Linked DNA regions of Anolis sagrei. The protein of the gene in region 1 interacts with the protein of each later gene in a biochemical or structural test. Links are inferred from orthologs where the notes say so. Each region holds a gene or a part of one and is shown in the gene's direction. Other genes may lie near its edges.

Evidence for each region. The genes of interacting proteins can lie anywhere in the genome.
Region 2: the proteins of FGFR2 (region 1) and FGF10 are reported together in a solved structure, tested with the Homo sapiens proteins (3 studies listed by BioGRID and IntAct, with this or other methods). The link is inferred for Anolis sagrei from reciprocal best matches to the Homo sapiens genes FGFR2 and FGF10.

Annotation. Positions count from the first base shown.
Region 1 is NC_090023.1:200,546,921-200,554,018, forward strand, and holds the start of FGFR2 (fibroblast growth factor receptor 2), read left to right. Parts: upstream 1-4,086; 5' UTR 4,087-4,193; intron 4,194-7,098. UniProt on the Homo sapiens protein: Tyrosine-protein kinase that acts as a cell-surface receptor for fibroblast growth factors and plays an essential role in the regulation of cell proliferation, differentiation, migration and apoptosis, and in the regulation of embryonic development.
Region 2 is NC_090022.1:275,736,345-275,743,885, forward strand, and holds the start of FGF10 (fibroblast growth factor 10), read left to right. Parts: upstream 1-4,524; 5' UTR 4,525-4,935; intron 4,936-7,541. UniProt on the Homo sapiens protein: Plays an important role in the regulation of embryonic development, cell proliferation and cell differentiation. Required for normal branching morphogenesis. May play a role in wound healing.

The DNA of each region.
Region 1 (7,098 bases):
CCCAAGTGTCTAGGACTGTGTGATGTATCGGCGAATAATGCATGCAGATCCCAGTAAGGTGGCCTTCTGTAGCTGGCAGATAGTAACTTTGTCAGCGCTGATTGTGTTTAAGTGCAGGCCGAGGTCTTTAGGCACTGCACCCAGTGTGCCGATCACCACTGGGACCACCTTTACTGGTTTGTAGAGTCTTTGCAGTTCAATTTTTAAATCCTCATATTGTGTCAGCTTTTCCAGTTGTTTCTCTGCAATCCTGCTGTCACCTGAGATTTAGACATCGATGATCCATACTTTATTTTTTAACATGGTTGTGAGGTCAGGAGTATTATGCTCCAAAACTCTGTCTGTCTGAATCCGGAAGTCCCAGAGGAGTTTGGCGTGTTCATTCTCTGTAACTTTTTCCGGCTTGTGATCCCATCAGTTCTTTGTCACAAGCAGATGGTATTTTGTGGTACAAGTTCCAATTAATCATCTGAGCAAAGGTGTTATGCCTCTGCTTGTAGTCTATCTGCGCGATCTTCTTGCAGCAGCTGAGGATGTGATCTATTGTTTCATCTGCTTCCTTGCAGAGTCTACATTTGGGATCTGTTATTGTTGTTTTTGTTTTTGTTTTTAAGCTATTATTATTGTTGTTGTTGTTGTTATTAATATTATTATTATATCTGGAAACATCATAAATTGTATTCAAACTTAAGTTTTTCTTATGGAGTTTAACCTAAGGAGTCCGATTCTGATATCAGTTTTGGTGGATTAAATCATCTTCATGTCGAAAATGTTGATTAGACATCAGCAACTTGGTCGCTTCCACTATGTTGGTTATTGCTGCTATTGCAATGTAAATTGGTGGAAAGGTAGGTAATGATGGTGTGAATAAAATAGCAAAATCTGGTTGAGATAGTGCTTGCAGTTCAGGAGGAACTCTAATTTTTGCTTCTCTTAGACTTAGCATAGGGACTTGATTATCCAGTTAAAATAACGAGTTAACCAGTTTTTTTTTAACCTGAAAGGTTTCAGGATGTATGTGTTTGGACCTGAAAAGTTTCAGGATGTGTGTGTTTGAACCTGAAAAGTTTCAGGATGTGTGTGTTTGAACCCATACCAACCCCCCACCCCCAGCTACAGGCTTGCATCAAATTAATATTCCTTTCACATGGCTGCAAGAATGAAGAATACAGACTCCTGAGAAAATGACTGCCTGCAATTTTTGGGTTGCTAAAAGAACTTGCTTGAAGCCACAATGCCTCTTGGAAGGCAATGGGATAATATTTCAGTCTTGGAGCTCTGACACATGTTGTGACAGCCTGTGGCAGACATGCCAAGAGCTTCATTCCATAAATCACATTTCGAGAAAAGGAGGCCTCTGTGCTCAGTAGCAGCAGCAGCAGTACAGCATAGACCGTTTCTCCTTTCTCTTGGCTCCTTTGCTCGGATGGGGGTGGAGAGAGCCTTAACCTTCCGCTCGTAGGACCAACGGAGAAAGAACATTGCATACAAGAGTCCCAGCTCTTGCTTTGTTAAACGAAATGAAGGCCATGTAAAGACTTCCTTTAAAAAAAGTTCTATAGTAGTGTTGCAAACATGGAGATTCAGTAGAATTCTGTTTTCATTTACTTTTTTGGCAGCACTTTTCAAGTCTCTTCCCTCTGCCTCCCCCCTATAGACTAGGTCCATTAATATGGGATGGAAACAAGAATAAACGTGTGTGTGTGCACACACACATGTATGTAGAGTATAAGAAACAGCACTTTTAACTTCTACCATGACTTTTATCTGCCATTGGGGGAGGTGTGTGTGTGTGGTGATGGATTTGAAGAAAAAAATACATTCCCAGAGTATAGTATACAAAATCTTCTTTCCCTTCATGGTGTGAAGTTCTAAAATATTTCCATTGTCCTGTGAAGGTTACTTACACCACAAATATATTTGAGTAACCTTTATAATGCTTGGATTCAAAATTCTGCAGCTATGGCTTACATGTGTCCTCCAAGCTCTGATTCGCTATTTCCATTGCTCTCTTCCCCCAAATATCGGATGGTCCACTACCTGGCAGTGAAATCAAGCTAATATTTATTTCCATGCTGTTTCCTGAGAACTAGTACTCAGGATAGTTTATGAATATTAAAACTGTTACAGATAAATATGTGTAGTATAGATTTTAAAAGGGGATCCAGAACATCTAGGTGATTTATTTATTTATTTATTTACTTTGCTTTGCAGTTTCTCAGCCCGTAGGCGACTCAATGCGGTTCACAACAAGAGCAAAAGTCAATCATAACAACATACAATTTGATGAGTGTATAATACAGCCACAACAGATTGAATACTATTTATCTGACCAGAAGAGCCACCTTCTAACAGTAGCTCAATGGTTGTCTCTTTTCACTCACCGTGTATGTGTCCTCACATAGTACACGCTTGGGGTCAGTCACATCTTCTCTGCTGCTCACCAGAAAATATTTGGGTTACAGATGTATAGGATTGGATTGATCATATTAATGAGCAAAGATAAGGATTTCCTAAAATCCCCTTGATTAATCAATTTCAAGAAGGGGACCAATACTAAAAGTGTGCTTACTGATTTACATGTGATCACATGATCAAATCAGACATTGATTTGGAGTCATTATTGATTTCCCCACCCTAGATTGTTTCCCCGAAGTGAACAAAGAGCTTCAGAGTTCAATCTGTCATATTTGTTTGAACTGATATGATCTGAGATTTATATGAAACCCTAATTTACTCCAAGCAAGGAAGGTTTGGAATGTATCTTATTGACACCTAGGAGCTCATCAGATTGAGGTCCAGAAGCTGGGAGACAGTGGAGGAAACTGTGGGAGAGCAGGAGAAATTGTGGGGCAGTGAGGGAAACCATGAGGGCAGTCCCCTTATCATCCCATGACATTTCCCAGCTGTCCCTGGTTTCCGCCTGTGCTGTCTGTAGCTTCTTCAATGAGGATACAGGTGACCTCAGGCCAGCCTCTGAGCACACAGCCGGGATGGAGCGAAGATGGAGCGCTGCTAGAAGTAGTCCTGATGGGCTCATATGACAAATAGTCATATGATGGGCTCCGTCAGGCTCCATCACAGCTCCGTCATGGCAACGTGCTAGGATGGGGGAAAAACCCATTTGATGAGGTCCCTAGTCTTGGGGGTTTCAATAATACATGTATAAATACTGGTAAATATACTATTAGATACAAAATATGGGCAGCACATTTATTGAATTCCAGGCCTATCAGGTATTTTCAAATCATGTTAGCTGTTATATATGTTATCAGACATAGTTCTTATAGACTGTCATTGCTGTTTCACAACTTACATCCTGTTTTCAAGCTGTGCTTTTTAATTAATGACCAAAAGTGAACATTTTAAAAAGTTGTAGAGCTATCATCCATAGACTGGAAATGGAGTTCATGCTATTTCCTGCTTTAGGAAAATGGCCTATGAGAATTTGAATAAAGGCTAGTGTTATTAAGGAGTGTATAATGGATGGAATCCTATTAGAGACTCACATCATCATAAAGAAATTATTAATTGTGCAATTGCATCTCCATATCCAGTAGAGGACTGCTTTTATGTTATTACACGCCCCAGTTTGATGCACAAGGGTATCTGATATGTAGCTAGGGATAAATGACATTATATAATGTCAAGTCATAAAGGATTCTGATGAATGTCCAAGTAATGACAGGCAAAGCCTAGAATATTGTGTCCATCTTCACTGTTTGCATCCCAACCACTCAATGTGATATTTTTGTGGCTGTGCAGCAATCACAAATATGTGAAGAAAAGACTGAGTTGCATTTTCTAACATCTGGATTATTAGTTGCCGAGTACACATAAAACTCAGAATGCCTGCACCAGATGCATCTTCAGATAAATTATCTGAATCCTGCATACTGAGTAACAATTCTGCATTTACCATGAACAAATATGACTCTGTCTTGTTCCGGAATGCACTGTTGCTCTCTGCATCATAAGGCACTCAGTGAGTTAACTTTGCATTGTGATATCATTTTCTGAGTTCCAAGCCTCTGCCTCTGTGTAAGAATGCCACCCACATGATAGGGGAGAGCTGTCAAGCTGAAACATGCAGAAGGTACTTAGACACACCTATTCAAGCACCGCTTCACCTATTCTTGAAGTGTCTCGTGTTCCTGAAACCTCCACATGTTGAACGGAGACGCCGAAACCAGGTACAGTAGAATTTACGAACAATTTGAAAACAAATAGGCTTTGTACTCAAGAGTAGAAGTGAACCCTATAAGAACATTATTACATGTTTCTTTAATGGTATTTTTGGGTGTATGTGTGGGAAATTATCTATGTAGTACAAGGGAAGTAACTCTTGGCAACTGCACGTTGCTTCTGGATGCCTTTGTGTTGTAAACTGGTGTTGTTATTTTACTATTGCTTCTACAGCTGTGTGCCTGGTTTGTGTTTACTGTGGAGGGGTAGTACAAGGAGCATGTTGGTTTCTTGCTAAGAATACATTAGGAACTATCTTAAAACTGATGAAGCAGTTTGGATCTGGGACTGAGGACAGGCAAACACTACCTTGCACCTTTCCCAACTTGTTGTATGTTTGTTTTTGAATATGCATTCCTGTAAGTTTTGGCTCTTTCTTCACTGCTTTGTGTATGGACACTATTTAGTTTCATACAGAACTTAGAAGACTTGCTCAAGATTGGCTCTATACTACAAAAAAGTACATGTGGTATCAAGTCGGTAGCTGCTAACCTTTTGTATGTCCAATTACCCATCTAATTAGAATAAACACTATGGGCCACTTTTGATAAAGCTTTATCTGTGTGCACACAACAACAGGCAAATGCAAACACATTCACTCACACAATGATATCGTGTCACATTTGTTTCACCTAAAAATACTGAATTAGACTACATTCGATTTCCAGTATTATTGAGATATTAAAAGTTGATTTGATCCTTTAAAGTCTTGTTTCACACAAATCCCCACTGATGACAAAAGGCACATATCTAATGAATGATGAATATATAACATAACTTTCTTATGGAAGCATGTTTCCTAATATTCATTATTTCTGCAGAGCCTTTTCCAGTAAAATGCCCTACCAGGTCTTTAAGTTAAGTATTAGTATTTTTATATACTACCAATCTAATAACTTGTAAGCCAATCTTATACCATTTACAAATAACTTGTATGCCACTCTGAATCCCCTTCAGGGTGAGAAGGGCGACATATAAATGTCATAAATAAATATAAATAAATAAATAAATAAATAAATAAATAAATAATAGATATTCAAATACATGTATAGGGAAAAAATCTTTAGACCAATGGTGTCAAACTTGTGGCCTTCAACTTCAGCTCCCAGAATTCTTGACCATTGGACAAGTTGGCTGGGCCTTCTAGGAGATGGAGTCACAAACACCTAGAGACACACAAGTTTGACACTTCTGTGCCTTGCCCATGGATCATATCTGGCCTGTGGGTCAGTGGACAACGTCCATCCCTTACATGTCTTCTGCTCTTTCCCTTTGGCCAGTGGTTCTCAGCCTATGGGTCCCCAGATGTTTTGGCCTTCAACTCCCAGAAATCCTAACAGCTGGTAAACTAGCTGGGATTTCAGGAGGTTGTAGGCCAAATCACCTGGGGACCCACAGGTTGAGAACCACTGTATTAGAGAGAGAAAAACTCAGTGTGAAGAGAGAGTAGGCAACAAAGGGGGCATAGAAAAATGGAGCATTTCAAAATACTATTTCCTATACAATTTTGGAGAAACAGATCTTAAGTTAGATCAGGCTTTGAAATCTCTGCTTGGCCATGAAACCCACTGGGGGACCTTGGGCAAGTCACATTCTCTCGTCCTCAGAAGAAGGCAATGGCAAATCTCTTCACAAGAAATCTTGCAAAGAAAATGCTGTGATAATTTTACCTTAGGCTCACCATAGGTTGAAACGACTTGAAGGCAGACAGGAACAAATATTGATTCTGATCTTGGATGGGGAAAAGAAACACGGTTATCTGTTTTCACCCAGTAAATATGAAACCTAATTCCCCAGGTGATCCATCTGTTATGTATTTTCAATGTGGCATACCCGATTCACCTCCCATACAATTCTCACAACAAGTTTCTATACGGTTCTGGCCCAGCTTACTTGTCCGAATGCATCCACCCCTACGTCTCACCTCGTAATCTAAGATCATCCGGGGAGGCCCTGCTCTTGCTCCCGTCAACAGCACAGATGCGTCTGGCGGGGACAAGAGACAGGGCCTTCTCGGCTGTGGCCCCCCGCCTATGGAACACACTCCCAAATGAGGTAAGATCCACTCCCTCCCACCTGGCTTTTGGAAAAAAATTAAAATCATGGTTTTGAGACCAGGCCTTCAGGCAGTAGAAGTAAATGCATGCAGCATTTCAGAAAAACAATGACTGGAATGGCGATTTGTTGTATGACACTGTTTTATTGTTTTAATGATTGTTTTATTGCTTGTGGATGTACTTTTAAAACTTGATTTATGTCCAGTTGTAGTGTATAATTGTAATTGTTTGTACTGGCATTGAATTTTGCCATTACTTATGTGTAAACCCTCGGGGTGAGAAAAGCGGTATACAAATACTATAAATAAATAAATAAATAAATAATTGGGAAGGAAGTGAGTCTCATGGGTGAGTGGGACTTTGTATCTGGCTCATTCTACTCCCAGCCTGACAATCTAACAAAACCTTGCTGAGTTTTCAATCATGATCTTAAGCCCTTTTTGTTTTGACCTGACCTCTGTGTGACTTTTCCCATTTCTTTGTCCTGGAATATAATTTAAGCAATAATAGGGAGAAACCCATTGCATCTTCTGCTGTGTTTTAATATGATTATACTGTATGATTTGATTTTCAATTTATGATGTTGTTAACTGCTTGGAGCACTTGATTTCGAAAAGGAATGGAACGAGAATATTTAAAAACATCTCAAAATAAATAGCATGGCTTGCCAAAGTGTGAGGTTTACCAAGCTCTTAGAGGGCTAGCATACATGGCTGGTCTCTCTGTGTACACAAGTTATGTCCATTTGCTGTTGCCTAAGTTATATACAGTGAACATGTCTGTCTGGAGAGAACCT
Region 2 (7,541 bases), on another chromosome or scaffold:
GTATGGAGTTGGACTGGATGGCCCTTGTGATCTCATCCAGCTCTATGATTCTATGATAGTGGTTAGAATTGGTCTTCATTACATAATATTTTATGACATTGTCAATATGTGAACAATCCTCCTCTTCATAGGGCTTAGCTTCCAGGCCTTTAGCCTTTTTGGTCAGCCTTTGGATCCTTTCCAGCTTATCAATATCCTTCCTGAACAAGCTCTAATATTTGCACATGTTTTCATATATATATATATATATATATATATATATATATATATATTCTAGAAATGACATTCAGTTAAAACTATTTCTGCTCAAACTTTGTATATTTCATTGTATATTTACTGAATTTTTAAAACAATGTAGAAAATACTTGCATAGTTTCTGTTTTATGACGATAGGATTATAATTTACACTTCCTAGTCCTGTGAAAAGCCAGCTGGTAGAATGTTATCTGAGGACACAATTAGGTTTATGAAATTTAATCACAACAACTTCTCTCAACAAGCATTGTGTCATAGTCAAGATTGGGAAATTCAAAATTAAACTGTATGTTGTTGTATCTTAATTCATTTAAGGTTGCATTTTCCGTGATGTTCTGATAAGGCTTATGGCACCAAAGCAATTTGTATTATTTCTACCAGTATTTGTTTCTTTTAATCCTTGTTTCTTGTTATTTTTGTTCCAGTGCCGTAGTAATGACTACTACTGTTCTGTGCTTACTTTTGTTGACTAAAGAGATAACATTTGGTCCAATATAATCAACTTTAGGTTCTCTGAAGTTCGCAACTGATGTACCTCAAGTGATCTTTCCAAAAAGAGGATCAAAGCCTGTTTTCATAGGAAAGATAAACAAGTATATTTGTAATATAAATGCTTCTCAAAAATATAACATCGTATTCAAAAATAAACTTGTAGTATTTTAACAGCCTGAATCACAGACCCTTAATACACAGAAGTTCTCTTTCTGGAGACCACAACTTGGAAGAGTTACTTTTTGAACTAGAGCACCCATACTACTTTTGGGACCATTGTTCCCATGTTCATTGCAGGAATAGTGGTCCAAAAAACATGGGTTTTTGTTAATGTGTGTTTTAATTGTATTTTCTTTTACCTTGCAAACTTCCTTGAGTTCCAGTTTTGGAAGAAATGTGGGATTGATTGCTGAGCAGACAGACAGACAGAAGCCATCAACTGTCACTGTTTGAACTGAAGGCTTGGGGGGAAAGATATTATAATCTGCAATGGTAAATTGAAGAAAGGGAAGATATGATTATAATAAAATACTACTGGCTTCAGGAACCTATTATCCAGATGGTATTTTCATTAGTTGAGGGCAAAAACCTCCTTGCTTAAGTTGGATTTTTGATGACTAATTAATTGTAGGAATCTTTATAAGGGCAGCACTGACTTTTTCATTTGTGAAATTGTATATTGTTTAATTAATCATTTTTAATTGTAATATTTTAATTGTGTTTTCATTTTGTTATTATCTTTTGAGCTATATTGTTTGTGAGCTACCTTGGATTCCACATTAGAAAAAGGGACAGCTTATAAATGCAATAAACTAGAAAATAAATAAATCACTGGAACAACAGCCAAACAAACAAGTTGGGTGAAAATCCAGTCTCATTTTGCTAGAAAATGTGAAGAGCATCTGGATGTTTGCTCTGTCTCCTTCTAAATTTCTGCATTGCTCATAAAGCTTTGGAAAGCTCCAGATTTGCTTCAGTGTGACTTCAGGGATTCCTGGCTCATTTTGAGTGAATTCCAAATTTATCTGAAGAAGCCTGGTTTAGCTCAGGATTTGGGATTTCATTCAAACCAGAAACATACCCTTAAATCCATCTTAATCCCAAGGATTTTGTTTCAATTAAGTCTCACTGAAAGTCCAGAAAAATATACATAAGCTGTCAACTCCAGTGGCTTATTGAAAGTTTCTCAAAATTCGAATACAGGACCTCATTCCACAAGGAGGGGGTAAAATCATCTTTTTTTCATGTCCTTATGCCTGTAAAGAAAAAGGAATTCACACAAGTCTATCACACAGGGTCACATCCTCCCATTTCTATCTCATCCATCCGCTCCATTTCCCATCACATGGCTGGGTGTTGTCTCCTCCCATTACTTGCTCCTCCATAGTTTTAAATCACTTTCTTTTTTTTACTTTTGGTTTTTTAATTAAAAAGTCACAACTGCAGAAGTACTTTCTCTCACAGAACCAAAGCAATGAGATTCAAAATTCAAAAAAGTAAATGCCATAGTTCTTTGTGGGAACAATAATCAGTTTGTAGCAGATGCATATGTTTGGAAACCAAAAAGAGAGAGGTATCCCACCCAACCACCCACATCCCAGCACTACCTTCCTTCTTCTCTGGTAAGGCAATAAACTTCAACCATGTGTGTGAAACAGGAAGCTTTCAATAAGTCAAACTATCAGATCTTCAAAACGGCATAGTTACAGCAATAAAAAAATTAAAGAAAAAACTTTCCCAGTTCTTTTTTGTGTCTGCTGAGTAACTGTGACAAAAGGAGTGTCAAGGGGCATTAGCAAACCACCCACATGAATGCCCTCACTGACTGTTGTGGTGCTGCATTGGCATCCACATGGTCCAAGACCACATTGACACCACTGGACACTCACTACTGCCAACATCCCCTCCTTCTTGTTCTGAATGGTTCAGGACCTGCCTATCTTCGTGACTGCATCTTCACCTACGAGCCCACATAGTCTTTAAGATCATCCAGGGATGCTCTTCTCTCGCTCCTATCCCCGTCTCAGGCGTAGTTGGTGGGGACGAAGGAAAGGGCATTCTCAGAGGTGGCCCCTCATCTCTGGAACTCCCTCCCCAGGGAGATCAGGCTGGCAACCTCCCTATCCACATTTCGTAAGGAACTAAAGATGTGGATGTTTCGTTGTGCATTCGATTGATAATTCCTTTGGCAGATGGTCCTTAACCATGACCTGAATTCAAGTTCCTGTATTTGATTACTACACTTTTAAATTAAACTGAAATGATCTTGTCATAATTGTGGTATGCCTATGCTACTATATGTTCTATCCACCTTATTGATCAGCCTATCCTCTAACTCGTTTGCACACTAGTGCCCCCCCTCCCCAAAATGGGACTAGAGGTATCTCTGTTATTGCTTATTATGCTTGTTTCTTACTGTTTATGATGATGTTGTTCTTATGCTGTTTAAATATTTTTCTTTTGGTTTTGTTTTTAACTATATGTTGCCTGGGCTTGGCTCCATGTAAGTCCCTTCGGGGAGATGGAGGCAGGGTAGAAAAAATAAAATTCTTCTTCTTCTTTTTTTCTTCTTCTTCCTAGTCATGCACTGCCTCTGTTGATGTCAAAATGGGGCACTCATGATGGCTGGGAGTTCAGAGTTCTTGGCTGACTATAAATGGTGAATGTGATGAAAGGGCATCTTCTTTTTCCTGTATTAATGAGGTCAGGGAAGGATGATAGTGCCAGTGTCCTATCTGGACAGTGGATTAATCTAAATCAGATGCAATCTAGTTATCCAGATGTCCTCAAAGCCAAAGTTTCCAGCAAAGTGTGAAGCATCCTCCAACATTGCTTGAAGTAGGGCAAAGCCACTTTGACCAATGAAAACCTGCAATATTCGCTGGAAGGTGATCACAAAGTTGCACTGAAGGACCTAGAGATTTCTAAAGAGAACATTTTGATCAAATCTACAAAAAAAAATCAGATCCACAAAAGTGAAACCCACAGATGTTGAGAGTTAACTGTAGCCAGCTATTTCTTAATGCCAGTATCAACTATTTGCTGCTTCTCTTTTACCACCAATATCCATTGTTTTTATCCTTTTAATAGACTCCAGGGAGAGATGGAAAGAGAGAAACTGAAGGAACTGGGGGCAGACAGAAAGGAAGTCATTTCACTTTTATTACTTACTATAAGTCAAGCTTTTTTGCAGACACATCGTAGCACGTGAGTGAAGGGACCTGACTGATGAATGATGCTGTTTTTATTATATAAATACAAGGTTCTTTTTTAAAAACTGAAAGCTTAGCCAGTTGCTCGGTTTTCAGTCCAAAAGAAATCCATACAGGTTCAGGCACCTAATGGTCATGTTAACAACTATATTTTAAGCCCACCATCCTTGATGCTGGTTAGAGTCAACCTGTAAGACACAAATATAACATGATATGTGTTAATAACAAACATCCCAAGTTACAGAGAGTCTTTTCAAGCCATCTAACATTTGTTAACAGTGGGACAACAGAAAGATATCAGGTTTACTGTGAACCTAACTCCCTCAAAGGGAGCCTCTTTTTTAAAACACACACATACACCACTTTTTATGTCGTTGTTAACAATACCTGAAATGTATCATAAAGAGGGAAAAGTTCAAACACTTGCTTCATGTACATGTTATACCCTGCAGGTATGGTATTTAACACTCCTCTTAAATTGTGTCTTTTGCTTTCCACTTGAAACATAATGAGGCAGCCAAAGTGTAGGCTGAGTTTTTCTATGTCTCTGATCGCAAGAGGGATTACAAGGAGACAATAAGGGAATACAGCAGTGTCTCTTCACAACTGCAATGCCGGCTGCTGCAACAATTTATACTCCATTGAGAAAGGCAGGTTACAGCTAAGGGGGAGGGACAGATTCCCCCTCCTTCCATGATATCCTTTAGCCGAGGAGTCAATTTGCAGACTTCAAATGGTTCCGTGGGGTCATTGTACTCACACCATCCCATTTGTTGTACTTTTGTGTTCTGGAGGAAGCCTTCAAGTAATAGTGAGTTTATTTAGCTGCAGAAAGTTTGGCGAACTCCAGTTCATTCAGGGGCCTGCTAACGGCAGGGAAAGTTCAGCTCTCAGCTCCAGAGCTCAGTGACGTTAATAAGATCCAGAGCCCCAAGAGTTGGACAGCTGTGGTCTTCTTTCTCCTCTGCCCTGAAGGGTGAGTATATTTAAAGCTTTTCATTCTCTTTATGGTATCACCCGTCTTTACCACTTCAACATGAATGGGGTAGCGAGGGGGAAATATCAAGAAAGGTGAGTATTGCTGGTCCTCCTTTGCTCAGTAAGCGTGTGTAAACTCCTGGGTCTACCGAAAGGGGTGGATGCAAGAATATCAAAACAATATTCTCTCTATTTATAGTCCCCTTGATTGTAACTAGGAATATTCTTAAGAGGATACATGGGAAAGTATAATGAGAAAAGTGGTGTGGTGGTTATGTTTAGATGAAAACAAAGCATCCTAAAACTCACGGTGGTAAAAACTCAAAGTGCAGCAATCCCTTAGGAGAATCCCACTCCTCACAAATGTGGAAAGCACTTGCAAGTTTTCTAGTGAACAGGTTATTAGGAAAGTCCTTTTCTTTTTAATGAAGGGATTCAAATAGGCACAGCACAACAATTATGTAACGATATCTCTCCCCACGTTCGGCTCAGTTAATGAGAAAGTAATGCAGTGTTTGTTCTCCCTCCTCCATTCTCCAAAAATGTTTACTAGCAATTTCATAAAAAGGAACTGTTTCACAAGTTCTTTAATTTCAAACACATGCAGCTGAATGAATCACTCTACTGTTTTACACATTATGCTGATAATTAAGCTTTGCTACATAAATACAAAGCTGGAATCTTGTAGTATAACAATAGGGGAAACTGCATGGTTTCACCCAAAATTTGGTTGCTATTAGTCATCTGAGGAAAACATAAACACTCCAAAAATCAGAGAGACACTAATGCATGCTGATAACTGCCTTAATTGATTTTTCATGTTTTTTTCTGTATCCTTCAAAAATGGGGAAATAGATCTATTTCAGAGCATGACACAAAATGTCTCCAAGGTTCACCAAATTTTGGACATTAGCTCTCATATATAAAGAACTCTCCATGCCCAGATTGAGATGCCAACTGTTGAGCTATTAAGAGTTTCCTGATCCTATGTTTTTTCCCTAATTTTAGTTGGTCTTCTCCAGATTGTGAACTGATCTGAGCACTTCACATCAATCGAGAAGATAAAATCATTGCAGACAACAGATGTTTACTCTTAAACAGCTTAGACACTCAGACCACATCAGAAATGTCAAGAAGAACAGCCCTTTTGAACTTTATTGTTGTGAAAAAAAATCCTTTCATCTCTTTTAACATTATATCCTTGTGTTAATTTCTTAAATGCTTGCACCTGCTTGAAGAGACTTTTAATTGCAATTTTTATATTTGATGTCCAATCCCACTGTAACATCTAAAACAAATATGACCAATTCATTGATATAGTTAAGGTAAATGAAGAAGGTTCAATAATACTAGAAAACTTTGCTTTTTTCTAATATAATTATAACTTTCAACTTACTATTTTACTGAAATTATGTTCATTCAGTATATAATTATGTTTAAATGTTATTGGGATATCCTGGAAAGATTAACCACAACAACCACTAATTCCCAATAGGATTTAATGAGATTAAGGATAGGCATGACTATCAGTACAAATATTTGCATTTATGAGCATAGACTGCCACTATGGTCTAGTGGTTTGAGCACTGGAATGTGTATCTGGGTTAGAGTTGTTGGAAATAACTGTATAAAATGGATGTTGTGCAGGAGAAGATGAATATTGGTGGGAAAATACTGCAGAAAAAGCTTGTTAGAAATAACAAGTAAACTCAACTTTGAATCCATTCAAATCAGGGAAAACTTTCATGTTACTTTAATAATATAACAGCTTGGGGAAATTACCTTTTTAGTACACATGCTACAGTGCAAAAATGTACTTTTTCCAATACAGCTTGAGAGTTTAATCATAATCCTGACACATTTTGATCTTGTTTGAAATGTTTCAGTGTCAATAAGTTCTATTCCATTAGACCAGGGGTTCCCAAACTAAGGCCTGTAGACCCTCTAAGGTCAATTACCCATCCCTGCCCTAAACTTTAGATTTAACTTTAGGCAACAACAATCCGAATTAACTTGGCTATCTCATCAGCCAAATGCAGGCTAACACTTCCCATTGTTCTTCATTTTAAATATTGTATTGTATGACAAATAAGATGTGTGCAGTGTGCAGGTGAGGAAGGGGGGTAGGAGTTCAACACCCCCCCCCCCAATTTTTTCAGGTTAAAATGAAAAACCTAGTTTACTCATGAATTTTAACTGGTTAACCAAATCCCCATGCTAGGTTTATGAGAAGCAAAAATTAAATTGATGTAATTAAGTCTATATAAAATATAGAATGAACCATACTATTTAAATTATTTTGTGTTATGGAACTACTCTTCATGATTCACTTAAAAAATCAACACCCCCTCCCCCCCCCCAAAAAAAAAAAGATTTCTGGCTACAATCCTGCCAGTCTGCATAGGAATTCATTATTTTTTTCAAACTATAGTCCATGAGGCCCCCAATAGTCTGAAGAACCATGAAATTGTCCTCTGTTTAAATAGTTTCAGGACCATGTATTAGACTGTCTGTAGGGTTTAATGCCATTGAAAACACAAGTGAAAAGTTCTGCATTGGCATCACAACATGCTTCCAATTGTAACTTTTGCAGGTGATCTGAAC